Sus scrofa: one gene and its partners. The protein of the gene in region 1 purifies or fractionates together with the protein of each later gene. This does not show direct contact. Links are inferred from orthologs where the notes say so. Each region holds a gene or a part of one and is shown in the gene's direction. Other genes may lie near its edges. The genes, in order: FBXW8, CUL7, CUL1, CCDC8 and CCT2.

The links.
Region 2: the proteins of FBXW8 (region 1) and CUL7 purify together in Homo sapiens (affinity purification with western blotting; 12 studies listed by BioGRID and IntAct, with this or other methods). This does not show direct contact. The link is inferred for Sus scrofa from reciprocal best matches to the Homo sapiens genes FBXW8 and CUL7.
Region 3: the proteins of FBXW8 (region 1) and CUL1 purify together in Homo sapiens (affinity purification with western blotting; 9 studies listed by BioGRID and IntAct, with this or other methods). This does not show direct contact. The link is inferred for Sus scrofa from reciprocal best matches to the Homo sapiens genes FBXW8 and CUL1.
Region 4: the proteins of FBXW8 (region 1) and CCDC8 purify together in Homo sapiens (affinity purification with mass spectrometry; 3 studies listed by BioGRID and IntAct, with this or other methods). This does not show direct contact. The link is inferred for Sus scrofa from reciprocal best matches to the Homo sapiens genes FBXW8 and CCDC8.
Region 5: the proteins of FBXW8 (region 1) and CCT2 purify together in Homo sapiens (co-immunoprecipitation; 3 studies listed by BioGRID and IntAct, with this or other methods). This does not show direct contact. The link is inferred for Sus scrofa from reciprocal best matches to the Homo sapiens genes FBXW8 and CCT2.

Annotation. Positions count from the first base shown.
Region 1 is NC_010456.5:35,480,827-35,486,470, reverse strand, and holds part of FBXW8 (F-box/WD repeat-containing protein 8), read left to right. Parts: intron 1-2,135; coding exon 2,136-2,342; intron 2,343-5,644. UniProt on the Homo sapiens protein: Substrate-recognition component of the Cul7-RING(FBXW8) ubiquitin ligase complex, which mediates the ubiquitination and subsequent proteasomal degradation of target proteins.
Region 2 is NC_010449.5:38,101,099-38,106,742, reverse strand, and holds part of CUL7 (cullin-7), read left to right. Parts: intron 1-23; coding exon 24-195; intron 196-635; coding exon 636-741; intron 742-962; coding exon 963-1,058; intron 1,059-1,198; coding exon 1,199-1,374; intron 1,375-1,694; coding exon 1,695-1,828; intron 1,829-2,158; coding exon 2,159-2,317; intron 2,318-2,565; coding exon 2,566-2,672; intron 2,673-2,764; coding exon 2,765-2,947; intron 2,948-5,165; exon of another isoform or gene 5,166-5,267; intron 5,268-5,644. UniProt on the Homo sapiens protein: Core component of the 3M and Cul7-RING(FBXW8) complexes, which mediate the ubiquitination and subsequent proteasomal degradation of target proteins. Core component of the 3M complex, a complex required to regulate microtubule dynamics and genome integrity.
Region 3 is NC_010451.4:109,554,898-109,561,331, reverse strand, and holds the start of CUL1 (cullin-1), read left to right. Parts: upstream 1-2,217; 5' UTR 2,218-3,095; exon of another isoform or gene 3,096-3,339; intron 3,340-3,377; exon of another isoform or gene 3,378-3,547; intron 3,548-3,659; exon of another isoform or gene 3,660-3,848; intron 3,849-6,434. UniProt on the Homo sapiens protein: Core component of multiple cullin-RING-based SCF (SKP1-CUL1-F-box protein) E3 ubiquitin-protein ligase complexes, which mediate the ubiquitination of proteins involved in cell cycle progression, signal transduction and transcription.
Region 4 is NC_010448.4:52,471,680-52,478,038, forward strand, and holds the start of CCDC8 (coiled-coil domain-containing protein 8), read left to right. Parts: upstream 1-2,828; 5' UTR 2,829-4,437; coding exon 4,438-5,853; 3' UTR 5,854-6,359. UniProt on the Homo sapiens protein: Core component of the 3M complex, a complex required to regulate microtubule dynamics and genome integrity. It is unclear how the 3M complex regulates microtubules, it could act by controlling the level of a microtubule stabilizer.
Region 5 is NC_010447.5:33,855,838-33,862,029, forward strand, and holds the start of CCT2 (T-complex protein 1 subunit beta), read left to right. Parts: upstream 1-2,676; 5' UTR 2,677-2,801; coding exon 2,802-2,804; intron 2,805-3,516; coding exon 3,517-3,591; intron 3,592-3,722; coding exon 3,723-3,788; intron 3,789-4,863; coding exon 4,864-4,975; intron 4,976-5,577; coding exon 5,578-5,654; intron 5,655-5,773; coding exon 5,774-5,886; intron 5,887-6,192. UniProt on the Homo sapiens protein: Component of the chaperonin-containing T-complex (TRiC), a molecular chaperone complex that assists the folding of actin, tubulin and other proteins upon ATP hydrolysis.

The DNA of each region.
Region 1 (5,644 bases):
ATCACTACTTCACCCCCGTAAGCTGCTTGCCCCTTAATGATCAGTCTCTGCTGTTCGGATGTAGTGTTCCTCAAAACTGCCTGATGCTGTCATCTCATCTTGGGGTTTTATTAGAAAAATGTGAAAGTACCATACATCTGTTTGTTCTCAAAACTACATAGTGCTCGTTATTTGGTCTCTGACTAAAGAACACTGTAGATCACTAATTATATGAGCTCAGACAATTAAGATGTGAGTCCCTCCAGAAAGTGCAAATCCGGCCTTGGCAATAAGGGGGCATCCTGGCACAGCCTGGAAGCTTTTTGAAGTACGTTACAGTTCCCAGCAAATGGCACAGCCATAGTCAGGCTGAACCTCTAGGTCTGTCAGAAATCCAACACGAAGGTGAAATTAAATGGCTAGATGGAGAATGTTGATTTTAGGAAAGTAAGAAATGATTTTTAGGATAGGACAGGGGGGAATCAAACAGCCATTGCTGGAGGCATGTGTTATAATACTTTTTATGTATTATTTCTCACCCTGGATGAGGGTTGCCATAGAATGCACTTTCTTTGAATAAAGCACACCCCCCCTCCCCGGGTCTGGATTGCTGGGCCATCTTTGTCTTCCTCAGATAGGCTCCCTGCATCACAATGGCTATGTTCCCAGTTTGTTATACTGTGCTAGAACAGCCGTCCTTTGTGATGGACCCTCAGCTGGGAATGTGGGGCCGTCATTCACACTGTCAGGCCTGAGGATTAGCAGAGTCACCCAGATGTTTTACTCCCTCAAGTGCCTGGGGCCAGTTCCCAGGATTCAGGCCTTTTGAACTCATTTGGCTTCTTGTCAGGGCAACTCTGTCCTTTTACACTGTGGATTTTCATAATCATGTAGGTGGTTCACCTTCCACTTTTGTACTCTCAGAATTTACTCAGGGAGATGAAAACTGATGTAAACTGTACTCAGAGGGAGCATGCCATTTATGAATATAGGAAAGCAAATTATTCTTAAAGGAAGCTCCCCATACCCATGCAGATTAGAGAAAATGGTAGCAGTGATGCAGCCAGGAGCATTGAGGTGGCATAAAAATGCTTGCAGTGGTCTTCCTACCCTGGGATGACATTGAATCCAGGAGAAAGCAGCTAACTCACACTTCTAACCTTTTAGCAACACATTTTTGGTATTTGCACAAACATTAAAATGTGCTTTTGGCTAATTTGGAACTGAGTGAAATGTGTTGTTCAGATTCTTGTGAAGAAATAAAAACTTTTATTTTTGAATAGTTATTATAGCCCCGTGTTCCATAATTTAAAAGGCACAATAAGATTTACAGTGAGAATCTCCCTTCCACTCCATCCCACAACTCATTTCCCTCCCCGAAGGCAGCCATTGTTAGATTTATGCACATACAAGCCATGTATATCATAGGCTTTCTCTTCCCCACCTTTACACACATTAGCACACTGTGAATCTTGTTACTTTGCTTCCCTGCTACCCCCCACCCCAGATTTATCTTAGAAATGATCCCATTTGTATGAGTTTGTAAAGAATGTCTTTGTCCTTTTTCCCTATGACCTCATGGTACTCCGGTACATAGATGTATTGTAAGTTATTTAACTAGTCCCTTAGTAATGCATTTTCAGGGTTTTCCAGTTTTTAGCTATGGCCAAACAGTGCCTACAGCAGATAAAATTGTACACAGTCATTTTGCATAAATGTGAGTTTACTTGTAAATAAATTCCTAGAAGTGATTTCCTGGGTTAGCACATATGTGCCTTTGGCGTTGTGATAACTGTTCTCGAATTTCCCTCCATAGACGTTGAACCAGCTTACATCCTACCAACTGTAAGTGGGATCCATAAACATGGTTGTTCCCCCTCTACTTCTAGCCACTGTCTGATCAGACTAGTTGATCTTTACTAATATAACAGGTGATGTATTTCTCTTATTAGGAGTATATTGTGTTTCTTTTATGATGCGCATCTTTTCATTTGTATAAGTACTATGTTTTGCCTCCTGTGAACTAGCCCTTGGCCTGTCTTTTTCTTTTGGATTGCTGGTCCTCTCATTGATGTGTAGGAGGAATTGTGTATTTTGGACCAAGGATGAATTGTAGGTGAGACCTGAAGGAGTAAATGATTCTCATCCTTTAACAGGTTGACTGCCTTGAAATAGTTCCAGATACTGGAAGGTACCCTGTGGCAGTAGCCACTGCTGAAGATCTGGTATACCTGCTAAAAGCTGAAGACTCTGCCAGAACCCTCTATTCCGGCCGTGGCCATCCTGTCACATGTCTAGATGTCTCAGCCAACCAGGCTGCTTTTGGAGTGAAGTTTCTGGCATGGTTGTATGAAGGAAACAAGGTACAAAAATAGCAGGATATACAATTAACAAAAAAGAGCATAGATTTCCTGTTTTAGAAGGCAATTTAAAAATTAAAGCTCACTGATATGTATGTGTATCTGTATATATTTAAGTTGATCAGGGTATAGTTGATTATAATGTTGTTAGCTTCACATTTACAGCAAAGTGAATCAGTTCTACATATACATATATCCATTCTTTTTTTTCCCATTTAGGTTATTACAGAACAATGAGTAGACCTCCTTGTGCTGTACAGTAGGTCCTTGTTAGTTATCTATTTTATATAATAGTGTGTATGTGTTAATCCCATCATCCCAGTTTATCCTTCCCCCTGCCATGATTTCCCCCTTGGTAACCCTAAGTTTGATTTCAAAGTCTGTGAGTTTGTTTTACTTTATTTTATTATTATTAATTTTTTTTTGTCTTTTCGTCTTTTTAGGGCCGCATCTGCGGCATATGGAGGTTCCCAGGCTAAGGGTCTAATTGGAGCTGTAGCCACTGGCCTACGCCACAGCCACAGCAATGCCAGATCTGAGCCGTGTCTGTGACCTATACCACAGCTCACAGCAACACCATATCGTTGACCCACTGAGCGAGGCCAGGGATAGAACCTGCAACCTCATGGTTCCTAATCAGATTCATTTCCACTGTGCCATGATGGGAACTCCCATATTATTATTAATTTTTTATGGCCATACCTGCAGCATATGAAAGTTCTGGGGCCAGGGATAGAATCTACCCCATAGCTGTGCTGTGGCTAAGACAACACCAGAAACTTTTTTTCCTTTTTTTGGCTGTCCCGTAGCATATGGAATTCCTGGGCCAGGGATCAAATCTGAGGTACACTTCCAACTCACACTGCAGCTGCAGCAATGCCAGATCCTTTTAACCCACTGCACTGGGTTGGGTATTAAACCCATGCCTTTGTGGTGACCTGAGCCACTGCAGTTCAATTATTAACTCATTGTGCCACAGCAGGAAACTCCTGTTTCTGTTTTATAGATAAGTTCTTTTGTATCATTTTTATTAGATTCCACATATAAGTGATCTCATGTGATATTTTTCTTTCTCTGACTTAATATAATAATCTCTAGATCTATCCATATTGTTGCAAGTGGCATTATTTCATGCTTTTTTTTGAGTGGGTGGGGGGGCCTACCCATGGCATATGGAGTTCTCCGGCCAGGGATCAGATCTGAGCCACAGTTGTGACCTACATGGCAACACCAGATCTTTAACTCACCATGCCAGGCTGGGGATTGAACCTGCATCCCAGCACTCCAGAGATACTGCTGATCCCATTGTGCCACAGTGTGAACTCCTATTCCATGCTTTTTTATGGCTGAGTAATATTCCTTTGTATGTATGTACCACATGTTCTTTATCCATTGCTCTGTCAGTGGGCATTTAGGTTGTTTCCATGTCTTGGCTATTATAACTAGTGCTGCTGTGAACATTGGGGTGCATTATCTTTTTTTGTAGTTTTGTCCAGATATATGCCCAGGAATAGGATTGCTGGATTATATAGCAACTCTATTTCTCTATTTTTAGTTTTTTAAGGAACCTCCATACTGTTTTCCCCAGTGGTTGTACCAATTTACATTCCCACCAACAGTGTAGGAGATTTCCGTTCACTGATATGTTTTTAAAAGATCTGTTCAGGCAATATATATATATATATATATCAGTGAGGTTTTAAAAAAGTCAAGTAATTCAGGATGATATAAAATGATTATTCTTTTCTTTCTCTTTCCTTCCCAAAGTCCTACTCCATAGAAGAAACTATTAACAGTTTTTAGATATCCATCTAGAAAATTTTAGTGCATATGTGCACATTTATGCACTAAAAACCTATCTTTGTTTAGATGAGATCATGCTATACATACTGTTCTGTGCCCAGTGTTTTTATTCAGTTATATACCTTGGAAAGCAGTCCATGTTAGTTCCCTCTCCTTAGGATTCCAGTGATGCTTACAACCCACAGTCTGTGTAACCAGTCCCCTCACTGGTGAGCATTTAGGTTGCTTTCACCATTTGGGCTATTGTAGACAGTGCTATAACGCATGTTGCAATTTGTAAATCGCTAGAATAAATTTCTAGCAATTAATATTGCTTTGTCAGAGGTTTGATGAATATTGACAAATAGCTCTCTAAAAAGGTTGCGTCAAAATTTACATTCTCTCTACAGTGGGTAAAAGTGCCTCCGATACTCTTTGAGCTAGAAACAGGGAGACAGGTTTTTAATTCAAATTGTTTCCATAATGACTCAATTTTATCACTAGTTAGTATTTTACTATTCTGACTATAGTCTAAGTACTTAGTCTTATTGCTGATTTACAGAACTCTTTCTCTTCCCATGGAATCAGGGGAGAGAGAGAAAAGTTTTGTTTTGATTTCTCTCCAATTTGCTGGCTCTTGACCCTGCTGGTAGTGGAGATAATCCTTGAGAAGGAACCAGTGGCTCCTCTGACAACAAACTTTTCTCCTAAGGAAGGAGGCCCTTTTCCACACAGCAGCATCATGAACTGGAAAAGAGCCAGGCTGTAGGTGCTTACCATGCTCCAGTCCCAGCCCTACCACCCACTGCCCTGTGTGACCTCAAACAGGTTGCTTAACCCTCTTTATCCCTAAGTTTCCTCATTAGTAAAAGGAAGTTCATGACAGTACCTACTTCATAGAATTGTTGGATTAAATGAGAACATGTGTGTAATCTTTAAGCATAGTGCCTGGCACTGGAAAGTTTACTTCCTGTTCTTTCTGCCACTCATAGTTTGAGTCTAGCCTGTGGCTGTGGTTTTTACATCTTGTTTCCACTATGTATAGTCATCTGTAAGGTCAAATCTCACCTATCTAGGTGTTCACTGGTTTTGCGTCCTGCATTCCAGGATGATATATTGATGATATATTCTTCAATCAAGAAGATAGCTAAAGCTATAGAAAATACATGTAGTTTGGAGTTCCCATTGTGGCTCAGTGGAAATGAACCCGACTAGCATCTGTGAGGACACAGGTTTGATCCCTGGCCTTGCTCAGTGGGTTAAGGATCTGGTGTTGCTGTGAGCTGTGGCATAGGCCAGCGGCTACAGCTCCGAATCGACCCCTAGCCTGGGAGCCTCCATATTCTGCAGGTGTGACCCTAAAAAATCAAAAAAAAAAAATACATGCAGTTTATTGTAATCTCACTGTGAGAAGGGACTCCTTCTGTGCTCAAGTTGGCCTGCTCTGCTGGAGCATGTTCAGCATAATTTAGCTGGAAAGTCTATGATGATATAACGCCTGTGTTTTGTCTTCCCAGGAAGTG
Region 2 (5,644 bases), on another chromosome or scaffold:
CACCCCTTCCCGCTGGCCCGTAGGCTCCAGTGTGGAGGTGAAGGAGGACAAGTGCTGGGAGAAGGTGGAGGTGTCCTCCAACCCTCACCGGGCCGGCAAACTGACCGACCGCAACCCCAAGACCTACTGGGAGTCCAACGGCAGCACCGGCTCCCACCACATCACCTTGCACATGCGCCAGGGCGTCCTCGTCAGGTAACACGCTCCTTGCCTGTGCGTAGCCAAATTGCCGTGCTTTCTTGTGACTTCCCTACTGTTTGTCTTGGGGAAGCACCTCACCTCCCTGAACGGGATCAAAGAGTCCCCTTGGCTGTGTCCACGAGGACAGAACTGGATTGGGTTCTTTTTTTTTTTTTTTTTTTGACTTTTTAGAGCCCACCCACAGCATATGGAGGTTCTCAGGGGTCGAACCGGAGCTGTGACTGTGGACTTACCTCGCAGCCATAGCAACCGGGGATCCAAGCTTTGTCTGTAATCTACACCACAGCTCATGGCAATGCCGGATTCTTAACCCACTGAGTGAGGCCAGGGATTTGAACCCACAACCTCATGGTTCCTAGTCAGATTCTTTTCTGCTGCACCATGACGGGAACTCTTGGATCAGGTTCTGATTGGTTCCTCTCCTCTGCTCGCAGGCAGCTGGCTCTGCTGGTGGCTGGCGAAGACTCGAGTTACATGCCCGCCAGGGTGGTGGTTTTTGGGGGCGACAGCACCACCTCTCTTAACACAGAACTCAACTCGGTAGGGAGCTCCCCTCCTGCCCAGACCCCTAAATGCCTATATTCCTCCTTTTCTTGAGCCCCATAGATCAAGTCCAGCCTTGGGCCCATGTGACAGCATCAGGCCCTGAGCAGTGAAGGTGGCGTCAGGACCCTTTCATCAGGAGGCCTCACACCCCAGGGCTGGTGCTTTCAGCACTCCATCCTTACATGTGGCGGTAACAGCACTCTCTGCTCCCCCAGGTCAATGTAATGCCCTCCGCCAGACGGGTGGTCCTCCTGGAGAACCTGAACCGCTTCTGGCCCATCATCCAGATCCGCATAAAGCGCTGCCAGCAGGTGGGGCCAGGGCATGGTGGGGGTGGCCCCTGGGCGCTGGGCCCTACCCCCAGGAACTGTTGCAGATCTTGGGCCAGCGCTCCAGCCCTTCCTAAGGCCCCACTGTGGGGCTGGTGGAAATGGACCTGTGTGTGTTGCAGGGTGGCATCGACACACGCATTCGGGGGTTGGAAGTCCTGGGCCCCAAGCCCACATTCTGGCCTGTGTTCTGGGAGCTGCTGTGTCACCACACACGCCTCTTCTACATGGTTCGGGCCCAGACTTGGAGCCAGGACATAGCGGAGGACCGCAGGAGCCTCCTGCACCTGAGCTCCAGGTGTGTGTGAGTGGGTGTGTGCCTGTGTGTGAGAGAGATAAGAGCATTACAGAGGGCTGCCGGGGGGCTCCTGTGACGGGTGACCATGCTTGGGAGGGGGCCGGAATGTTCTGTAGTTGGAGGAAGGAAAGAAAGGACAAGAAGGAGAGGTTTCTGTGGTGGCTGGGAATGGGGGTGCCAAGGAATCGAGGGGGTTGTGACATCCTGAGGGGGGAGTTTGGCTGGTTTTAGGGAAGCTGGCGATCTTAGGTTGGGGGGACACGGGGTAGGTCACTTAAGCCTCCAGCCCCCCACACCTTACTCCCCATCCTCCTCCCCAGACTCAACGGGGCTCTTCGCCACGAGCAGAATTTTGCCAATCGCTTCCTCCCTGACAACGAGGCGGCCCAAGCCCTGGGCAAGAGCTGCTGGGAGGCCCTGGTCAGCCCCCTGGTGCAGAACGTCACCTCCCCCGGTAACTGCCCCGCCCCGCACTAGCCTCTCGCGTGGCCCTGCTCACCGGCCCCTTCTTGCTCTACTCTAGAGCCACCTGGGAAATGCTCTTGGCCTTTTTGGTACCCACGTTCGTTTGGTATCCATGTGTTCCCCTTCTCACAGCCCAGGGGCTGCCTCCTTTCCCCTGTCTTCCACGTGCCAGCTGCCACCACAAGGTCAAGGGGGTCCTTGCAACCTTCCTTACCGTATGGTTCTGTCCCGTTGCCCTTTCTCTGCACTCCTGTCCAGCCCAGCTTCCCTGCTGGCCTGCAGACGCGCTCTGCCTTGGCTTGTTTTCCCCCACCCCCAGATGAGGATGGCATCAGCCCCATGGGCTGGCTGCTGGACCAGTACCTGGAGAGCCGGGATGCTGCCTACAACCCCCAGAGTCGCGCGGCTGCTTTCTCCTCACGGGTGCGCCGCCTCACCAACCTGCTGGTGCACGTGGAGCCCTGCGAGGCGTCCCCCAGTGAGTGCTGGGGATTCAGGCGGGAGCTTGGGTGCTTGGTCCCCACCACCCTGCATGCTGCAGGTGTCTGTTCTTCTCTCCCTCCCCTCCCTCAGCCTGTTTATCTTCCTGTCTGTGACCCCCTACCCGGGACCATCACGTTGGGCAGGAGCATGAGGAAAGGCCCCCAGGCTCACCCTTGAGTGGGGACCAAGGAACTGCGGGGCTCCCCACTGCCGCCGCCTCTGCCCCTTCCCCTGTCTCCACAGAGGGCAGAAACAGAAGCCATGACTGGAGCTCTCTGGCCACCCAGGGGCTTCCCAGCAGCATCATGAGAAACCTGACCCGTTGCTGGCAGGCCTTTGTGGAGGAGAAGGTGGGAGGAGTGGGCCGGGGTGGTGCGGCGGTGGGGGGCAGACCAAGACTGTGGCCCCTTCACGCTGCCACCCCTTCCTTCCTTCCCTCCAGGTGAACAGCTTTCTGACCTCACGCTGGCAGGATGATGACTTTGTGCCCCGCTACTGCGACCACTTTCACAATCTGCAGAAGTCGAGCTCCGAGCTGTTTGGGCCACGGGCGGCCTTCTTGCTGGCGCTGCAGAACGGCTGTGCCGGGGCCCTGCTGAGGCTCCCTTTCCTCAAAGCTGCCCACGTGAGCCACCTGCCCTCCCTTCCCCCCCGCCGGGGCCTCTCGCTTCCCCACCGCCTCAGAATGGCCCACCTTCCACTCCCACTTCACGAGGAGCACTCCTGCTATAGAAACCTGTTATCAAAAACTCCAAAAACCGTGGCCACTTTGTGCCGTCCTAACTTAGCTCGGCATGCTTTCTTCTACTTGTGTGCTTGATTTCACGTAGCTTACCCGTGAGTAGCTAAAATGCCTTATCCTGTTTTCTTTTTGACTGCAACTTCCCCATGTGGAACTTCTGGGGCCAGCGATGGAACCTGCACCACAGCAGTGACCCAAGTCACCACAAAATGCCAGATTCTTAACCCCTCCTTCCTGTTTTCTTTTGACCCTTACACTAAAAGCAACATTTTCCTGGTTGCTATTTGTCCTCATTTAAAAACTTTTGCATAAATTGCCATCTAATGGATATACTATAATTACTCCACCATTCCCATTATCCCACAATTTTTTTTTTTTTTTTTTTTTTTTTTTTGCTTTTTAGGGCCGAGCCTGAGGCATATGGAAGTTCCCAGGCCAGGGGTTGAATCAGAGCTGCAGCTGCCAGCCTACACCATAGCCACAGCAACTCGGTATCCAAGCCGCGTCTTTGACCTACACCACAGCTTGCAGCAATCCTGGATCCTTAGCCCACTGAGCGATGCCAGGGATGGAACCCGTGTCTTTATGGATACTAGTCAGATTCATTTCCGCTGCGCCACAACAGGAACCCCATCCCACGAATATTTAATAAGCACTTTAAAATGTGTCAGGGATGGAGTTCCTGTCATGGCACAGCAGAAACAAATCCGACAGGAAACCATGAGGTTGTGGGTTCAATCCCTGGCCTCGCTCGGTGGGCTAAGGATCTGGTGTTGCCGTGAGCTGTGGTGTAGTTTGCAGACTCGGCTCAGATCTGGCATTGCTGTGTCTAGTGTAGGCCAGCAACTGCATGTCTGATTAGACCTCTAGCCTGGGAACCTCCATATGCTGCAGGAGCAGCCCTAGAAAAAGCAAAAATAAAAAGTGTCAGGGGGGTTCCCATCATGGCTCAGCAGAAACAAATCTAACTATTATCCATGAGGACACAGGTTCAATCAATCCCTGGCTTCGCTCAGTTGGGTTAAGGATCCAACTTTGCCTTGAGCTGTGGTGTAGGTCGCAGATGTGGTTCGGATCCTGTGTTGCTGTGGCTGTGGTGTAGGCCGGCAGCTGCAGCTCCGATTGGACCTCTAGCCTGGAAACTTCCTCTAGCTCTAAAAAGCCCCAAAATAAAAAATAAAATAAAATGTGTCAAGCACGGTTATAGAGCTGTAGGTGAAGTCCCTTCCCTCAAAGTTGTCTTCTGGAGAAGATGCACAGTTAAGCAAATGACAGACTAAAATGTGAGAAGCACCTTGGTAAGCAGAGGGCAGCGCAGTGGGAGCAGGAGGCTCGGCTGCAACAACGCCATGTGACCATCCTGGCACAGAACTTACAGGTGTACCTCATTATATTGCCCCTTGCTTTTTACTCTGCTTCGTAGATAATGTATTTTTTAACTTTTTTTTTTTTTTTTTTTTTTTTTTTTGCTTTTTAGGGTCACACCTGTCACATATGGAAGTCCCGGGCCAGAGGTTGAGCCTCTTGGGATTTGAGCCCTGTCTGCGATCTACACCACAGCTCATGCCGGATCTATAACCCACTGAGCGCGGCCAGGGATTGAACCTGCATCCTCATGGATACTAGTCAGGTTGTTTCCGCTGAGCCACAACAGGAACTCCTTAACCTATTGAAGGTTTGTGGCAATCCTGCATTGTTAGGTGATGGTCAGCACTTTTTTTAGCAATAATGTATTTTTTTTTTTCTTTTTGCCATTTCTAGAGCCGCTCCTGCGGTCTATGGAGGTTCCCAGGCTAGGGGTCTAATCAGTAGCTGCCAGCCTACACCAGAGCCACAGCAACTCGGGATCCGAGCCGAGCCGGGTTTGCGACCTACACCACAGCTCACGGCAACGCCGGATCCTTACCCCATTGAGCAAGGCCAGGGATCAAACCCGCAACCTCATGGTTCCTAGTCAGATTCATTAACCACTGAGCCACAACGGGAATTCCAGCAATAATGTATTGTTTAGTTAAGGTATGTACATTGTTTTTTAGACATAATGCTATGTATACTTAATAGACTACCAGAAAATGTAAGCATACTTTTATATGCACTCAGAAACCAGAAAACATGTGTGACTTTATTGTGAGCCTGGAGCCAAACGAGCAAAATCTCCGAGGTGTGCTTCTGTCTCTTCATGCTCAGTTAAACTTTGGATGTGCTGAATGTGAGAAAACATTTTTCAGTATTGTTCTCATTGTCAATGCGCACAGCTGTTAATGATTTCAGTTTTAGAAAATCGTTGAGCAGGAATTCCCGTCGTGGCTCAGCCGAGAGTGAACCTGGACTAGCACCCATTAGGACGAAGGTTCGATCCCTGGCCTTGCTCAGTGGGTTAAGGATCTGGCGTTGCTGTGAGCTGAGGTGTAGGTGGCAGATGCAGTTCAGATCCCGAGTTGCCGTGGCTGTGGCTGTGGCGTAGGCTGGCAGCTTCAGCTCCGATTCGACTTCTAGCCTGGGAACCTCCACATGCTGAAGGTGCAGCCCTAAGAAGACAAAAAATTAAACAAAACAAAACAAAACCCTTGACCCATTGAT
Region 3 (6,434 bases), on another chromosome or scaffold:
TTTCAAATCTGATTAATAAACAATTATTTTTGAATCCTCTGCAGTGTCCTTCAGGCACAATGCTGGAGGGGCCTGGGGAACATCAGGAAGTAGTGTCTGACCAAGGCACAGACCACTTAGCTTAAAGGCACTTGTAAGAAGTTAGCAATCAGAGATCATGAAAGCCTGCGTAGAAGGTGCAAAGGAGGCTTTCCTGGAAGTGGATGTGAGCTGGATATGAAAAAGGAGGATGATTTGCAGATGTAGGAAAAGGGGAGAGACTTTCTATTTGTTGAAGGAAAAAATGGAAGCAAGCATTCATAAATGGTGATTCAAGGCTGATATTTGTGGACCAACAGTAGAATCAACAGGATGGAATGAAGTTGAGAGTTCCTTTTGCCAACTGGCTGGAAACACATTGGAAAAGTTAGGACAGGATTATGTGCCTTAAGTGCCAGGTCAGAGTTTGGACTGAACCCTCTAAACAGTGGGGAGCCAGAGTTCCCTCCCATTGTGGCTCAGCAGTGTGTAATCCAACTAGTATCCATGAGGATACAGGTTCGATCCCTGGCCTCGATCATTGGGTTAAGGATCCAGTGTTGCCATGAGCTGTGGTATAGGTTGCACCTGTGGCTCGGATCCTGCGTTGCTGTGGCTGTGGCATAGGCCAGCAGTTGTAACTCTAATTCGACCTCTAGCCTAGGAACTTCCATATGCCGCGGGTACAGTTATAAAAAAGACAAAAATAAATAAGTAAATAAGTAAACAGTGGGGAGCCACTGAAAAGTTTGAAAGGATAGCATCATTTGGAAAGAATCATCAGTGGTTAGTCACTGTGCAGGCTGGAAGGATAGAGCAGAGATCAGAACCAGGCAAACTATTTAAAGGTAAAAACAGGAGTTCCCGTTGTGGCGCAGTGGTTAACGAGTCTGACTAGGAACCATGAGGTTGTGGGTTCGATCCCTGGCCTTGCTTAATGGGTTAAGGATCTGGTGTTGACGTAAGCTGTGGTGTAGATCACAGATTGGGCTCCGACCCCGAGTTGCTGTGGCTCTGGTATAGGCCAGTAGCAACAGCTCCGATTGGAATCTCCATATGCCGCAGGTGTGGCCCTAGAAAAGACAAAAAAGACAAAAATTTAAAATTAAAAAAAATAAAGGTAAAAACAATACAGGTGTGGGAAACATAATAAAGGAGTGGATCTGCACATACTTGGGAGTTACTGGCTTAGGTTACGCCCCTCATCAAGCTTAATGATTTGGAGCAAATTGCCTGATATGTCTGAGAAGTGGTATAGATGCTACCTGGTTGTGAGGTGGACATAAAAGTCAATGAATGACATAGTCTAAGAGCTGTCAGTAACAGTGCAGATGAGTGGCGAGTAAAAGCTAGAAGGAAGAAGCAGGAATTAAGGCAGTGAGAATTGGAGAGGATGGTTATAGGTGAACTAAATCCTTCCATTCAGGGAAAAGTGAGGTAGTAATTCAGTAGGGTTCTCTTGTGGCACAGCAGGTTAAGGATCTGGTGTGGTCACTACTGTGGCTCTAGTTCTATCCCTGGCCCAGGAACTTCTATATGCCATGGGTGCGGCTGGAAAAAAAAAGGGGGGGGAGAGGTTGAAAGAAACAAACAGTAAAGGGAAAGCTGACCCACTCCGTTCTTGTATTAGCTATGGGAAGGCACAGACAAGAAGACCATGTTGAATGGTGAGAAGGGAGAGGACAGTTTAGGGAAGATGGAGATGAGATACCTTGTTGTTTGAGGAAAATACAGGTTCCATTATGGGGAACAAGTAAGAGAAGCCATATATATACAGTGGAAAGCACTGTCCACAGGGACAAGCCTTCCATTTCTACCTTCAATTTTACCATGTGCCCACAAAAAAATTGCAAAATACACCTGTTTCTTCTTCTTTTTTGGTCTTTTCCAGGGCCACTTCCCATGGCATACTGAGGTTCCCAGCCTAGGGGTCTAATCCGAGCTGTAGACACTGGCCTACGCCAGAGCCACAGCAATGCGGGATCTGAGCCACATTTGTGACCTACACCACAGCTCATGGCAACGCCAGATCCTTAACCCACTGAGCAAGGCCAGGGATCAAACCCGCAACCTCATGGTTCCTAGTCGGATTCATTAATCACTGCGCTAAAATGGGAACTCCTCCTACACCTGTTTCTTTTAAATATCTAGAAGTGTAGGATGTAAACCAACAATTTAAAAATCATTGCATAGATTGAGATCATATACTTTAGTGACAAGTACAGACCAATGCCTTACTTCTAAAGGTACTTAACAAATGTTGACAAGTGACCACATTTCAATAGAAGGAAACAAATACTATGGGATATTCTAAGAGAAACCTGTATTCCTCAGGAGACAGCGTAGATTATGGGGGCAGCCCTCTACTCTGGGCCTAGGATTTCCACCCCACGGTGATACTAAAATCTTCTCCTGTTTTCATTTGGAGCAAAACAGGAAGTTATGTTCATCAAGTTTTTTGCCCAGGTAATTTGAAATTCTTCCTTGCTTGTTCATGGAAGTCGTGGGCCCTCTGGTATGTAAACCACATCATTCCAGCAGAAGCCCCTCCAAGCCCGCCTTTTGTCACCTAGGTCATCATAGGAAGCCAGGTGGCTATTTGTGCTGCAAAAATGTGCAGTTCAAGGACCCAATTGTGAGTTAATTTCACTTGACTGCGGTGAACTACTCCAGGACTCACGTGAAAACAATGTTATTCTGCAGTCACGCCTCATCGCATCCACATATATGGAAAAGCTTAAATTCCATTCTTGATTTGTCTTTACAGAGATTAATGGTAAAGCGAATCTTTATCAGCCCTTTGCCTAAAAAGGAGTTGGTTAAAGAGTTTGTGGAGGAAAGCTGGATTGGTTTGATTTCAGAAACGATTTTAGAGAGGCGCCGGGGAGCCGGGGCTCTGGTGCCGAGGCCCGCAGGTGTCTTGGGGCTGAGAATGGACCACACGTTTTTCTTTTCAAGGGCCCCTCGCCCATCCTCGACTTCATCAGCCGGTCGGGATCTGGCTTTTGGTTATTCCCCCGGCTGGGGAGGCAGATCCACCGGGTGTCGTTGTGTTCCGTGTCGGTTCAGGGTTCAGGGTGAGTGTGCGCGCAGGAGGGGGTGTGTGAGACCCTCTCCTCCAGGGAGTTTTGGGGCGGCTTCTTCCTAGGCTGGCGCCCCCAACCTCAGAAGGTGACCCCTCCTCGTTCGGCCCGAAGTGGCGGGAAGCCGGGTCCTTAGAGGCGGCCCGAAGGCGAGGGAGGCTGTAAAACCTGGAGGCGGATCCGGTGCGCTCGGCCGGGGATGGCGTGGGGTTTCAGAGCCAAGGACCGCGGGCTTCAGGTAGGGACCAGCCAGGCGAGCGGGGCCTCAGCGGCGTCGGGGGCCCTGGGGCCAGGGCCACGGCGGGCGGGAGGTTTCCGGGCCCCTCCCGTGCCGCGGGCTGGTGGGGAGATGGCGGCGACGGTTTCCCGGCTCCCCCGCCCCGGACGCGATGGCGGTGCGTTCCGGCCCTCCCCCACCAGCTTCACGCCCGCGGGAGCCGGAGCCGGTGAGGCCGGGAGGGCGGGGAGCGGCGGAGGAAAGGCGAGAGGGCGGAGGTTGCGTGGTGCAGGCGGCGGCGGCGGCGGCGGCGGCGGCGGGAGGAGGAGGAGGAGGAGGAGGAGGAGGGCCGGCGGGCGAGCAGGGGAGGAGGAGGAGGCGGGAGCCGTGTCGCACGCAGCTCCAGGCGGGGCAGCCCCGGCGGCTGAGGGACGCGGCCAGACCTTGGCGGGACGGGGATTTAACCGGGGCCCGGCCCAGCGACCAGGTGGAAACGTAGCCGGAGCCACTTAGGCACCCGGGAAATACGGGTGAGTGTCGGGGGTCCGGCGCCGAGGGGGTAGGTGGCGGCGGCGGGCGCAGGCCGGGCCCCGAGCCGCGGTGTCGCAGTGACTGGGGCCGCGGCAGCCGAGCGCAGGAGGCGGGCGAGGCCTGAGAGGCCGAGCCGCGGCCGGGAGGTATGGCGGCGGAGCCGGGGGACTCGTGGGCAGAGGGCGCCGGGGGCGGGAGGTGAGCGAGCGCGGCCCGGCCCTGAGTCACCCGGGTCGGCTCGGGCCTGGCCGGGCCGCGGCACCGGACGTGGGCTCAGGGCGACCAGGCCCGGACTACGCACTGGGAAAAAAGCCCGATTCATCGCGCCCGAGGCGGCGGCCTGGTGGCGCCCGACCCATTCCCATCGCTATTGGGCTCGGGCTGCGGAGCCCGGCGGCGAGCGGCCCCGGGCGGTCGGGCGCGCGCGTCTCGGCTCTCGGGCGGCGACCCCCGCGGGGCACCGGGGACCCGTGCGGTCTCTTCCTCGCCCCTCGGGATCACTTCTCTCCCGAGCGTCGCTTCCCCCCCAGCGCGTGCTCTCAAGTAAGTACTGGGCTCGCGCGCAGGAGCGGCGGCGGAGCCGGGCTCTCTGCTTTCCGGTTCCCTGCCCGCGACTCTTGGGTTCCCTGCCCGCATTGTTGCGACTGTGCAGGGCGCTATTATTGGGTAACAGTCGCCCTTTTGCCCCGTTCTCTTGGGAGAGCGGGCCAGGAAGGTGGCAGGGATGCGAGTGCAGCGGCCGAACGGGACCGAGCCCCCCGGCGCCAGCCAAGCGCCCGCGAGTGGGGCCGGGCCTGCGCCGCCGCGTCGGCGCGCCCCCGGCCCTGCGCCCGGCGGGAGCGCGCGCTGACCCCGCAGGTAACCCTTGCGGAGGGTGGCCCTGTGCGCCCCGCTTGCTCCCCCTGCCCCGCGCAGGAGGTGGCCTGCAGCGGGCCAAGTGATGGTTTCAGGAGAAACGCTTTGTGAACATTCCTGGAGACTAATCCGCAAAGTTCAGGGTTTTCTCCCTTCAGCGAGCTCTGCCCCAAATTGGATCCTCTTTTCCGAGTGGATCCTTGTTGCTTTTAATTGGTAGTTGGGGTTAGTGGTGAGGGTGCAAATGGGGAATTGCAGTTAACTTATACTCAAGCATTTATTTGCTCTGTGTAATTGTGGTGACATTAAAACAGAGTTAGGAATGGAGTCAGGGGTCACGCAGTTTTGAAATGAACTTTTGAGTGACAGAAGGGAACTCAATTTGCTTTTACTTTTAAGCTCCCAGCTGCTAAGACCTAAAACATCTTGACATTCCCCAGAACGTGTGCACTTGTAAGTTTAACACCTCATTTTTGTGGTCGCCCTGTCTACCTGATATTCTGATATCCTGGAGCGTTTGTGGATTGTGTAGCAGAACAGGGAATGTTGTTTAAAAAGCAAAATCAGTCACTTTTCACATTTTTCAAATTATTCAAGACACTTTTTTGATCCAAAAGGGTTCTTGGATGTTAGGAAACATTTTACTTGAAAGTTCTATTTGTTGCTTTCCATGATAAGTTGTAATAGTTGTATTTCAAATTCCGAAGCATGCAAACACAAGACTGGCTCACTTTAACTCTATTATGCCCATTTTTGGAGGTTTTTGGAGAGTGCTCATTAAGCTAGAGAGGGGTGGCTGAAGTACTGTCTAAAAATATTACCTTTTTTTGTGTGTGTTTTGGTTTTTTTTTTTTTTTTTTTGGTCATTGGACTCAATCTTTTAAAAAACTTATTTTACCAAAAAGAAGGAAGAAAAAAACTTTTAGATGGACTACTAGGATATTTGACCAGTTTGTAATCTCTCTCAGAGCCACAGGCTCAGGTCCTTGGAGGCATGTCCATCTCCCTTTCCTAAGGTCGCCCATCACAGAGGAGAATTACCAGTCAGTGAATGCCCCAGCTGATTCTGCAGTTTCTTTAGGTATTACAGCACCTCCTGTGCCTTTGCCTCTCACTGAATATTACCTTCTAGAGATAATTAGTCTGGTTGTCAATACAACCTTATTTCTCATTCTTCTTAGACTGAATTTCTTTTTCTTTTTTCTTATTTTTCTCTTTTCCTTTTTAGGGCCTCATGAGAGGCATATGGAAGTTCCCAGGCTAGAGATTGAATCAGAGCTGCAGCTACCAGCCTACACAACAGCCACAGCAACATGGGATCTGATCCGCATCTGCAACCTACACCAAAGCTCATCGCAATGTTGGATGGATCCCTTAACCCACTGAGCAAGGGCAGGGATTGAACCCGCATCCTTATGGACACTAGTTGGATTCGTTTGCACTGCGCCACAACAGGAACTCCCTCTGACTGAATTTCTTGAAAGGAGATACTGCTTATTTATTTTTGCATCCCCAAAGTATCATAGAACTTCACCCTGGGTACCTTAGTTTTTTTTGAATGACTAAATCTGGAATAATTCCACCTTATTCCCAGTGTTTGACCACTTGGGATTTGGCTACAGAAACAGTCACTGCACTTAAACCGGGTGAGAATGAACACTTTATTGTAATTGTTCCTGCAGCACCCCAGGCATTAATACAGTGCCCTGGCAGAAAAAAACTCAGGTCTT
Region 4 (6,359 bases), on another chromosome or scaffold:
CAGGATGATGTTAAAAACCCTCATGAGGTAAATTCTAAAGTTATCCCTGCAAGAATTTTTTTCCTGGAAAGCACAGAGGTATTTAATTGAGATTACTCTGGGGGAAGGGGCTGGAGGCTTAGGGCTGGTAGCTAGACATTTTTTATTTTACACGGTTCGGCAATTCCAGCATTTTCGTAACATGTACTTGTCACCTTTATTATTATTTTCTAGAGTGGCAACCAAGGGTAGCTGGGTAGAGAGATTTGAGCCATGTTTTGTTTTCTTTCTCCATTCTTGCTGGGTTTTTCATTTCTTTTAAACAAGTATAAAAGTGGGAGCTGTAATTATCGTTTTTTCTGGGGCGGCTGGAGAATCTCGCCTGCCAAAGAACTGGGAATCTAAATCCCTCACAGCGGAACTGCCCAGGGGTTGGCAATTTTTGCAAAAATGTTGAACATTTGGGCTTTTATTTCTAGGATAATCTCCACCACCCCACCCCACCCCGCCTCCGCCACATACGCAACTTTTACCAGTTACAAAACCCAGTGTCTCATCTGCGAGGTCATTCCCACGTGGAAGCCTTGACTTCTCAGGGCTGGATTCTTAAGTCAACATTTAGAAATTTTTAGTTTCGGGCCCCTACAAAACAGCTTTTCAGAGAAACTGACGAGGAAATCAGGCCTAGAGATGGGAAAAGAAGCGGAGAAGAGGCGCTGCCCTGCCCCGCCCACCCTCTCAGAGCAGCCTCTAGCGAGGGAGCGCGTCTCCTCGTCGCCATGGAGACCGCTGGGAGGCGGGGCTAGAAGCTGTGCAAAAAAGGGCGGGGCGCGGTTGGGGGGCGGGGACTGAGCCCGGGGGCAGTTGGGATGGACTTTTTGAGGAGAAAATACAGCAAAGCCTAAAGACCTGGCTCTGTAAAAGCAAAAACAATCCAAATGAGCCAATAATTGTACAAAAATTTCCCTGAGACCTTAGCCGTCCTCTGCCTGCCAAGTATCTTTCTTTCTTCTTTCCCTCTCTCTCTTCCCGCTTACCCCGAACATCTGCCCAGTTCCTTCACGAGTTAAGTGAAATCACATGCTGTGAGTTAAACGAAATTATATGTGTTTATTTTATTTTATTTGTTGTTGTTGTTGTTGTTGCTATTTCTTGGGCCGCTCCCGCGGCATATGGAGGTTCCCAGGCTAGGGGTCGAATTGGAGCTGTAGCCACCAGCCTACGCCAGAGCCACAGCAACTCGGGATCCGAGCCGCGTCTGCAACCTACACCACAGCTCACGGCAACGCCGGATCATTAACCCACTGAGCAAGGGCAGGGACCGAACCCGCAACCTCATGGTTCCTAGTCGGATTCGTTAACCACTGCGCCACGACGGGAACTCCATATGTGTTTATTTTTATACCTTATATTAGAGTCACTAGTTTACCCGGGTTTTTTGGTGTTTGGGGAATTTTTTTTTAACATTTGCATACATTAAAATTGGTCTCCTTTGTAATCCAATAATACAATACCATGCATTGCAAAACTATCCTGAAAAGGGTCCTTGACATGGAAAAGGTTAAGAATTCCTAAGCTAAAGGGTCCTCAAGAGGGTAGAGACTGCTCAGTAATTTGGGGAGGGTGCAGTATGACCTCTGAAGTGATAACCTTTTGCAACACCCTAGCGCCTAGTGCTTAAGGATCCAGTATTGTCACTGCTGTGGCATGGGCTAGATCCCTAGCCTGAGACCTTCTGCACGGCCAACAACAAAAAAAGATGACATTTGAGCAGAGGGAGATTGCCAAGAGAAGGTAGGGGCAGAACTTTCTGGGTGTTGGGACCAGTGATGCAAAGGACCTGAAGGTGGAGGTAAGCCCGATTTATTGGATGACCAATGAGGAGGCAGGTGTGGCTGGAGTGGAGTGAGGAAGAGAGAAAGAGAGCGGGAAGTGGGACTTTGTGGGTGATGGCGAGGACTTTAAAATTAGAGGAGAGGAGTTCCCGTCGTGGCGCAGTGGTTAACGAATCCGGCTAGGAACCATGAGGTTGCGGGTTCGATCCCTGCCCTTGCTCAGTGGGTCGGGGTTCCGGCGTTGCCGTGAGCTGTGGTGTAGGTTGCAGACGCGGCTCGGATCCCGAGTTGCTGTGGCTCTGGCGTAGGCTGGCAGCTACAGCTCCGATTCGACCCCTAGCCGGGGAACTTCCATATGCCGCAGGAGCGGCACAAGAAATAGCAAAAAGACAAAAAAAAAAAAAAAAAAAAAAAAAAAATTAGAGGAGAGACAGATCTGGCTTAAGTTGCTAGGTTGGGGGTGGATTGATTATAGGCAGTGAGAAGGAAGCAGGGAGCCCCACGAGGAGGGATTTGTATGGATCCAGGCAAGCATTGAGGGCAGCTGGACATGCGATGGCTTTTAAGGGGTCAAACAGCCTAGCACTCTCAGGAGGACGCAGATCAGCTGTATCTTCAGAGCCTGGAGTTAGTTCTAACGTCTGGGATCTGGTTCAAATATCTGGCTCTCCACTTCGAACTGTGCAATCGGGGACCAGCCTCAGTGTCCCCAGCTGTAAGGAGATGATAGTGAAGGCATTCACCTTTCGGTGTAGCTCTGCAGATTCATAACAGGCCCACTCAGGATGCCTGGTTTCAAAGAAAGCATCCATGCAGGTTAACCGTTATTATTACTAAGGCAGTTGTTGCTGTGCATGTGGTTGCCTCACAGTTACCCAAGAAGCTTTGCGAATCCTGACCCTTTAATTTAACTTATTTCAATTAACATTTTTGAGGTATCTGAGGTCCTTCAATTTAATTTAACTTATTTCAGTTAACATTTTTGATTGTTAAAAATTGAAGCACTCCAAAATGATAGAGTGAAAAGTCATGTGAAAAGTGAAAAGCCACCTCCGGGGTCCCCAGATATAGCCACTGTTGGCAGTGCTTCTACACATGACAAATGTATGTATACACCTAGGCCCTTTGGTCTACACACACATTAGACTGTTTCAGAATCAAATCCAGGTTCAGTCTTCTTCCTGGCCATGTGACCTTGAGCAAGAGATTGATTTTATTTCCTCAGCTGTACAATGGGAATGAGCATCGTATTATCTGTATCCTGATGTTTTTGTGTGAATTTTATGAGTTAATTTATAAAAAGCACTTAGCATGGTCCTTCGTACGTAGGAAGTGCTCCCTAAAATGTGTTTATTCTCAGTCACTTCTCTTTTTCATAACGGCCTAGTATTTCACCGTTAGTCCCTACCGGTGAACAATTAGGTGCATTCATTCACTCAAAAATATTTCTTGAGCACCTACTCTGTGCCAAGCCCCATGATGAGCTGCAATAAGACCTTGATACCAGGTTCTTCACCCACATGTCTGGGTATATGGCTAGGAACTGCCGGTACCCAAAGTCACTTAATTTTAAGATGGTACTATACTGTCAGTGGCTTTCCAAGGGATTGCCCGATGATGAGCGCGCCCACCTTCAGGGCTGGGCTGGAACCCGCACTTTTGGGACGGTAGTTTCGGGAACTGCTGCCTTTCTCAGAGAAAGCTGCTGACGTGGGCGTCGGCACCGCAGGCCTTTGGCTTGGAAGCCGGGGCCCCTGAGAGGCCCGGGGCGCAGCCACACCCCTGGGGGGGAGGGCGGCGAGGGCGCCCCAAGGGGAGTGGACAGCCCCCCTGTCAGTCTTCCCCGAGTCCGGGAGTGTAAGCCGAGCAGGGAGAAGGTGGGCCTCATCCAGGGGGAAGGCGAGGAGGAACTTCCTGCCCGCGCGCGCACTCGCCGGCCCTGGGCGCGCAGGCTGGGGGCGGAGGCGCGTCAAGGTCAGCCTGGACCGAGGTGGCAGCCTGCCTAGGGGCGGGAGACCCTCCTGGGGAGCTGGCTGCGGCCTCCAAGAGCCTCGGCCATATTGAACAGCCACAGCTGAGCCGTCTTTGTCTGCAAAGTCCTTTCCCAAGTTCCAGGGACGTCCCCTGTGCCTGGCACAGGAAGAGCCACCAGCAGTCCTTACACTGAGTTGGAGCCGGGACACCCATTTACAGCTTGCGGCGGGCTTGGAACCTTGAGACTCCGACTCACGTAAGCACCCTGAATCGATTCCCACCAGTCCTTGAGGGGAGCGAACTGGATCACGACCCGACTTGTTGCGGGCAGAGAAACTGGGAGGTGAGATTCCCGGCCGCGCTCTTGGGACCGCATCCCCACCCCAAGACTCGGCGCTGCGAGTAGTTTGGGCTCCTTGCCCGCACTTTAGATTTCACCCTGGAGATCTTAAAGACCCTCGAGAAAAGCCACGTGGGGGGCTGGTTCCCCTGGGGCTTCCTCCCTTCCCCTGATTGCCTGATCCTCTGGAGCGTCCCCGACATCTGCAAAGATGTGGATTTGGACGTCCTCGTGGAAGCCTTGAAGCCGGTGGGGACATTCAAGAAGATCGGCAAGGTGTTCCGCCGCGAGGAGGACTCCACGGTGGGGATGCTGCAGATCGGCGAGGACGTAGACTATTTGCTCATCCCCCGCGAGGTCAGGCTGGCGGGAGGCGTCTGGAGGGTTATCTCCAAGCCCGCCACCAAGGAGGCGGAATTTCGGGAGCGGCTGATCCAGTTTCTGGAGGAAGAAGGCCGCACCCTGGAGGATGTGGCCCGCATCATCGAGAAGAGCACCCCCCACCCGCCCCAGCCCCCTAAAAAGCCCAAGGAGCCCGGATCGAGGAGGAGAGTCCCGCAGATGGTGACGCCACCTCCTCGGCTGGTCGTGGGTACTTATGACAGCAGCAATGCCAGTGACAGCGAGTTCAGCGACTTTGAAACCTCCAGAGACAAGGATGACAAGGACCACAAAGGCACGGGGCGTGGAAGGAGGCTGCGCAAAATGCCTGTCAGTTACCTGGGCAGCAAATTCCTTGGGAGCGACCTGGAGAGCGAGGATGACGAGGAACTGGTTGAGGCCTTCCTGCGGCGAGGAGAGAAGAAGCCCAGTGCCCCGCCGGCCCGCCGCCGTGTGACCCTGCCAGTGCCCATGTTTGAGGACAATCCGGGACCCCAGCTGTCCAAGGCTGATAGATGGCGGGAATATGTCAGCCAGGTGTCCTGGGGGAAGCTGAAGCGGAGGGTGAAGGGCTGGGCACCGAGGTCCAGCCCAGGGGTGGGTGAGGCCCGGCAGGCCTCTACCAGGGTGGAGAGGGATGGCGCATCGGTGCCAGGCAGCTCAAGCCTCGGGGAGGACAGGGGAAATGCAGGAGATGGGCGGGTGCCTGAGAATCCCCCAAGTCGGTGGAGACCCAAAATCAATTGGGCCTCCTTCCGTCGTCGCAGGAGGGAGGAAGCCCCAACTAGAGCTCAGAGAACAGAGGCTGCAGATGATCAGAGGGCAGAGGTAGTAGTGGTCCCGGGGGCAGAGGCCATAGCTCTCCAGGGGGCAGAAGCTGTGGATAATCAGAGGGCTGAGGCCCCTGCTGCTCAGGGGGCAGAGGACCCAACTGTCCAGAGAGTAGAGGCTGCAGATAATCAGAGGGCAGAGGCCCTAGCTGTCCAGGGGGCAGAGGCGCCAGCTGTCCAGAGGGCAGAGGCCATTCCTGACCAGAGGGCAGAAGCTGCATGTAGTCAGAGGGCAGAGGCCCTGGCTGTCCAGGAAGCTGAATCCTCAGCTGCTTGGAGAGCCACAGGGGCAACCCCAGGAGCCAGGACCCGGAAACCGGTCAAGACAGTGAGGTTCCAGACCCCCGGCCGCTTTTCGTGGTTTCGAAAGCGCCGGAGAGCCTTCTGGCACACCCCCAGGTTGCCCACCCTGCCCAAGAGAGTCCCCAGGGCAGGCGAGGCCAGGAGCCTCAGGGTCCTGAGGCCTGAGGCCAGAGCAGAAGCAGAACATGAAGAGCAAGAAGATCAGCTGTGAGGCAAGGGCAGGGGGGGTCACAGAGGACCCTGCCACCTGTCACAGTATTGGCCAGCCAGGGTGTGTCCCTGACTCCCCTGCACTTGGGCAGAGATGCTATAATCTGTCCCCACACTTGAAAATGGAGATAAATCAAGGGCCTGGCAGTGCCCCTCTAATCTCCGCCTAACACCCCTCTTTTTTCTTGCTAAAATTGTATCTTTCATGCATTGATTTAAAAAAAAAAAAATACAGACTAGGGAGCTCGCATCATGCAGCAGCAGAAACGATCCAATTAGGAACCATGAGGTTGCAGGTTTGATCCCTGGCCTCGAACATTGGGTTGGGGATCTGGTGTTGCAGTGAGATGTGGTGCAGACGCGGCTTAGATCTGGCATTGCTGTGGCTGTGGCGTAGGCTGGCAGCTGTAGCTCCAATTAGACCCCTCACCTGGGAACCTCCATATACCGCGGGTGCAGCCCTTAAAAAAGAAAAAAAAAAATACAGACTCTTCATAGCAACTCAAA
Region 5 (6,192 bases), on another chromosome or scaffold:
TGTTAAGGATCTGGTGTTGGTGTGAGCTGTGGTGTAGGTCACAGATTCGGCTTGGATCCTGCGTTGCTGTGGCTGTGGCGTAGGCTGGCAGCTGTAGCTCTGATTAGACCCCTAGCCGGGAAACCACCATATGCTGCAGGTGTGGCCCTAAAAAGCAAAAATAAATTGGAGTTCCCGTTGTGGCACAGGGGTTAGCGAATCCGACTAGGAACCATGAGGTTTCAGGTTTGATCCCTGGCCTTGCTCAGTGGGTTAAGGAGACGCCACTCAGATCCCGTGTTGCTGTGGCTCTAGCTGTAGGCGGGCAGCTACAGCTCCGATTAGATCCCTAGCCTGGGAACCTCCATATGCCGTGAATGCGGCCCTAGAAAAGGCAAAAAGAAAAAAAAAGCAAAAATAAATAAACTGAGTCACCTTGCTGTACAGTAGAAAATTGACAGAACACTGTAAATGAGCTATAATGGAAAAAATAAAAATCATTATAAATAAATAAATTTCATGTAATTTTTAATGTATCACAAAAGTTTTTGTTTTTGATCAAAATGTGAAAATCTTTTTTTTTTTTTTTTTGGTCTTTTTGCCGTTTCTTGAGCTGCTCCCACAGCATATGGAGGTTCCCAGGCTAGGAGTTGAATCAGAGCTGTAGCCACCGGCCTAAGGCCAGAGCCACAGCAACGCGGGATCCGAGCCGCGTCCGCAACCTACACCACAGGTCACGACAACGCCAGATCATCAACCCACTGAGCAAGGCCAGGGATCGAACCCGCAACCCCATGGTTCCTAGTCAGATTCGTTAACCACTGAGCCACGACGGGAACTCCTGAAAATCATTTTTAACTCTCTGGCCATACAAAATCAGGTGGTGAGTTGGATTTGGCTCCCCATGGTTTTTCAACCCCTGGAGTAAATTAACCTTTTTAGAATTTTATCTGAAGGGTAGAAACAATAATTGAAAAATCTATTAATGTTAATAATTGCCAAAATCCAAGTGCTCCCTAGGTGAATAGTTTTTTTTTTTTTTTTTTTTTTGGCTTTTTAGGGTGGCACCCTTGGCATATGGAAGTTCCCAAGCGAGGGGTCAAATCGGAGCTACAGCTGCTGGCCTACACCAAAGCTCACAGCAATGACAGATCGTTAACCCACTGAGTGAGGCCTGGGATCGAACCCACATCCTCACGGATCCTAGTCGGGTCTGTTAACTACTGAGCCACGGAGGGAACTCCTAAATAGATTTTTTTTTTAAGCACAAATATTCTACTTTGAACATCCTAGAGGGTCAACGTAAGGAAAATAGAAAACTTCTTAATAAACAGAAATATTTACGATTGATCTTGCTCTCTACCACAGCTTAAGAGGATGTTGGTCATCCCTACAACTGTGAGTGATGGTGCTGGTGGTGGTGAGCCCTCCTAAAAATGAGCAAGCAGGGCAAAGACAAAGTAAATGTCTCTGTCAGAGCTCACAAGACCTTGTCCTGGTCAGTCCAATTAAAAAGTGTTCTAAAATTCAATAAAAGAAATGCAATTCTTGGAGTTCCTGTTGGGGGTCAGTGGTAATGAACCTGACTAGTATCCATGAGGATGCGGGTTCCATCCCTGGCCTCACTCAGTGGGTTAAGGATCTGGCATTGCTGTGGCTGCTGTGTAGGCCGGTGGCTACAGTTGTGATTCAATCCCTGACCTGGAAACTTCCATATATCTCCAGTGAGGCCCTAAAAAGACAAAAAACAGAAGCAAACAAAACAGAAATCTGTGTTCCTCTGTATTAATAATGCTCAAAATTGGAGTTCCCGTCGTGGCGCAGTGGTTAACAAATCTGACTAGGAACCATGAGGTTGCGGGTTCGGTCCCTGCCCTTGCTCGGTGGGTTAACGATCCGGCGTTGCCGTGAGCTGTGGTGTAGGTTGCAGACGCGGCTCGGATCCCTCGTTGCTGTGGCTCTGGTGTAGGCCGGTGGCTGCGGCTCCGATTGGACCCCTAGCCTGGGAATCTCCATATGCCGTGGGAGCGGCCCAAGAAATAGCAGGAAAAAAAAAAAATAATTAAAAAAAAATAATGCTCAAAATTAAACTAGCAGTAAAATATTATAACACTTTAAATTGTGTATATGTAGCACCTCAAGGCAAAAATTTTTTAAGGTTAAATTTAAGAAAAAAACCCTCCGCGTTCCCATGGTGGCTCAGCGGTAAAGAATCCGACTAGTATCCATGAGGACGCAGGTTCGATCTCCTGCCTCACTCAGTAGGTTAAGGATCCAGTTTTGCCGTGAGTTGTGGTGTAGGCCGCAGACTCCACTCAGATCCCACGTTGCTGTGGCTGCGGTGTAGGCCGGCAGCTATAGCTCCGATTAGACCCCTAGCCTGGGAACTTCCATTTGCCTCAGCGCAGCCCTAAAAAGAAAAAAAAAATTAAAACTTGCAAGAGAAATCTCCGTTGCTATGGCAACCCCCAAGGGCGGCGAGGCGTCTCTTCCATCTTGGGGCGTTCTGCTTCCAAACCGCTAGTTCCCAAGCAAAACGTCACACCCTCCTTTCCTAGTCCTGAGCAGGTGGCTCCGCAAGGGGCAGAGGGCAGCCAAGGCCCCGCCCCTCGAGCTTGACTGGCAGCGTTTCCGACCCGCGGGGCTCCCTTCGAAATGCTGCCCCTTCCCTTCCCCCCAGGGCGGCGCCCATAAGGAGCCGCGCGCCGGCCCGGGCTCCGCCCCCTGCGGGAGAGCGTGTGGCGTCACTTCCGGCCTCTTTTCCCTCTGGACCGGATCGCGAGCTGTGAGGGGTGCGCGTGTGTACCGAACTCCTCGGAACCATGGTGAGTCTGGTCCCGCAGTCCCTGCCCAAGGCCCCCAGTGCCGCGCCGCCCTCTGCCCATCTCTGTGTTCCCAACGACGCGGGCTCCCTGAGTCTGTCCCCCGGGGCCGCAGCACATGGCGCAGGCCGCGGCGTGTGGCCTGCGCCGGGCCGGCGTGTGAGGCCCCCGGTGCGGGCCCGAGGGAGGAGTGGGCCTTAAGGCCAGCGTCTTATTCGGAGTCGGCCTCTCCGCAGTCTCAAACCTCAAGGGCCGCGTTTCACCCCAAGCAGAGAAATTTCTAGTGCACCGGGCGGGTCGGCGAGGCGGACCCCGCCCTCCCCCTCGGGGCGGAGCCTGGAGCGGCCGGAGGGCGAAGCTGGAAGCGGGGCCGCTGTGTTCCCTCGTCCGCCTGGCGGTCGTCGCGCGAGTGGGCTACAACCCCGGCCACCTCATTTTTAAAATCATCTTTGAACTTGCTGTACACCGATAATCTCTCTGACGTAGAATTTTTATTTTTGGAGCATTTGTGGTTCTAAACAGCAGTGTCACTTTAGTCCCTCCCTCCGCTTTAAATACCGCCCCGGTGATGAAGAGCTTCATTTGTTTAAAAAAGGACGCTATTCTGCAAACTGATTTTCTCTTAGATAGCAACTGGTAAGTCTAGTGGAAGGTATCCAAGTATATGTGTTAAGGAGTACTGGTACTTAGACTGATTCTTGTTTGTCCCTTTTAGGCGTCCCTTTCCCTGGCACCTGTTAATATCTTCAAGGCTGGGGCTGATGAAGAGAGAGCAGAGACAGCTCGTCTGGTAAGCCTCGTTCTTATTCTTTAAAAGATACAATAGTGGAGGGGGATGTTCGTTTTTTGTTTTTTTGTTTGTTTTTTCACAATTTAAGACTCTTAAGTTGATTTTCATCATCTCTTTAATCTTTACTCCAGTCCTCTTTTATTGGTGCCATCGCTATTGGAGACTTGGTAAAGAGCACGTTGGGACCCAAGGGCATGGTAAGAAAAATAGGGATTTTTAATACTGTTTTAGAACTTTTTGTAGAAATGTAATAGCATGCTTTTTGAAGACGCTTTTAAATATTTAATTGTTGATTATACTTAAAGACTTGTGTGTATTTTCCTTATTAAAAATCAGTGACTAAAGTCCTCTTTCATCTCAAATGCCACTCCCCTCCCCAGTCCTTTTGGACATAAACATAATCAATGCCTTTGTTCTTATGTAGAGGTAAGGGTATCTTATGTGTTAGGTGTTTTTTATGTATTGTCATTGTAACAGAACGTTGTTTTATCTCTTCACAGATAATATTTGTATGTACTTTTTCTGTAACTTGGTTTTTTTAAATTCCTTTCGGTGTAAATGTACCCGTCCTCTTTGCCAAATAGTATTCTGCATGTTGCTTATTTTATGGTTTGTATTTATTACTTTGTTGTGAGAAATAGTTTGCATCTGTTGCCTTCGCTATTACATTGTAGAAACAGCCTTGTTCATAGCTCTCTCTTCTTTTGTTTTTAAGGGCTGAACCCACAGCATATGTAGGTTCCCAGGCTAGGGGTCAAATCAGAGCTGTAACTGCCAGCCTACCCCACAGCCACAGCAACATGGGATCCGAGCCTCATCTGCGACCTATACCACAGCTCACGGCACTGCCGGATCCTTAACCCGCTGAATGAGGACAGATATTGAACCCAAGTCCTCATGGATACTAGTCAGGTTTGTTACTGCCGAGGCACAGTGGAAACTCCAGGCTCTGTTCTTCTAGTATTAGGGATAGACGCCAGGTTTTGATTTTGGGGATGTATGCAATGAAAAAATTTGAATGGATGCTGCCAAATAACCATCCAGAGTATTTACCCATTAGCAATGTGTGAGAGTATGGATTGACCTATTCGTTCTTCCATATGTGTTCGTATCTTTTTTGGAGGGGGTCGTAACCAAGGCAAGCAGAAGTTCCCAGGCTGGGAATCGAACTGTTGCCACATCAGTGATGATGCTGGATCCTTAATCCATTGTGCCATCAGGGAATTCCAGATGTGCTTCTATATTAACTTAAACCAAATATGTTCCTTTTAGGATAAAATTCTATTAAGCAGTGGACGAGATGCTTCTCTTATGGTAACCAATGATGGTGCAACTATTCTGAAAAACATTGGTGTGGACAATCCAGCTGCTAAAGTTTTAGTTGGTGAGTCTGATGTTTTGTTAATTAACATTTTGAAGCAATTTTATTTTCATTTTTATTTAGTTATTTTATGCTTTTCAGGGCTGCACCCATGGCATATGGTGGTTCCCAGGCTAGGGGTCAAATTGGTACTGTAGCCACCGGCCTGTGCCAGAGCCATAGAAATGCCAGATCCAAGCTGTGTCTGTGACCTCCCCCACAGCTCATGGCAAGGCCAGATCCTTAACCCACTGAGCAAGGCCAGGGATTGAACCCGCAACCTCATGGTTCCTAGTCAGATTCGTTTCCACTGAGCCAAGATGGGGAGCTTCTGAAACAATTTTAAATAGGCTATTTTGACTGTCTTTTTTATTAAGTCATGTTTGACCTTTAATTGATTATTATCATTATTAAAATACAAGTCTCTGGAGTGCCATGTACTTACTGATAGTAAAATTATTGAATTTCAGACTGAAAAGTTCCAAAGAATTTTTCAGGTGAGGAAATTTAGGTGAGATTTAGATTGGTAATGGGTTGTTTAGAGAATTAGGTAAGCTACTGAGATAAAATTTAAAAAGCAGAATCAAATATAAGTGGGTTAATAAGTAGCATTTTTTTTTTCCTAGACATGTCAAGGGTTCAAGATGATGAAGTTGGCGATGGCACTACCTCTGTTACTGTTCTTGCAGCTGAATTACTAAGGGTAAGACTAAATGAGCAACTTCAGTCTTACTGGGGTTTTTAATTACTATGGTTTTGAGTATCGGAAGTCTTTTCCCACAAATTTACTGTTGATGCACCTTTTCCACTGTTTATTAACAGGAAGCAGAATCTTTAATTGCAAAAAAGATTCATCCACAGACCATTATTGCTGGTTGGAGAGAAGCCACCAAGGCAGCAAGACAGGCTCTGTTGAATTCTGCAGTTGACCATGGGTTGGTATACCAAAATAACTATTGTTTCAAACATTTACTGTTCTTTTCAAAATTTTCTCAAGGCAGGAAGTCTAGGGAACAGTGAAAAGCATACACCAACATGATCCTGTTTCTTAAAGGCCTGCCTTAACAACCAAAAAACCCATACTACCCCCAGAGTGACTACCCAGAGGTAGTCACTACTAAAGTTAAAGTTTGGATTTCCAGTTTTTTTGCATATATAATCACAATAAGCAAAATAAATAGTATCCTCATCTAGAGGGTTTTCTTAGCCTCTTTAACTTAGTTGAATAACAAGCATGTTTC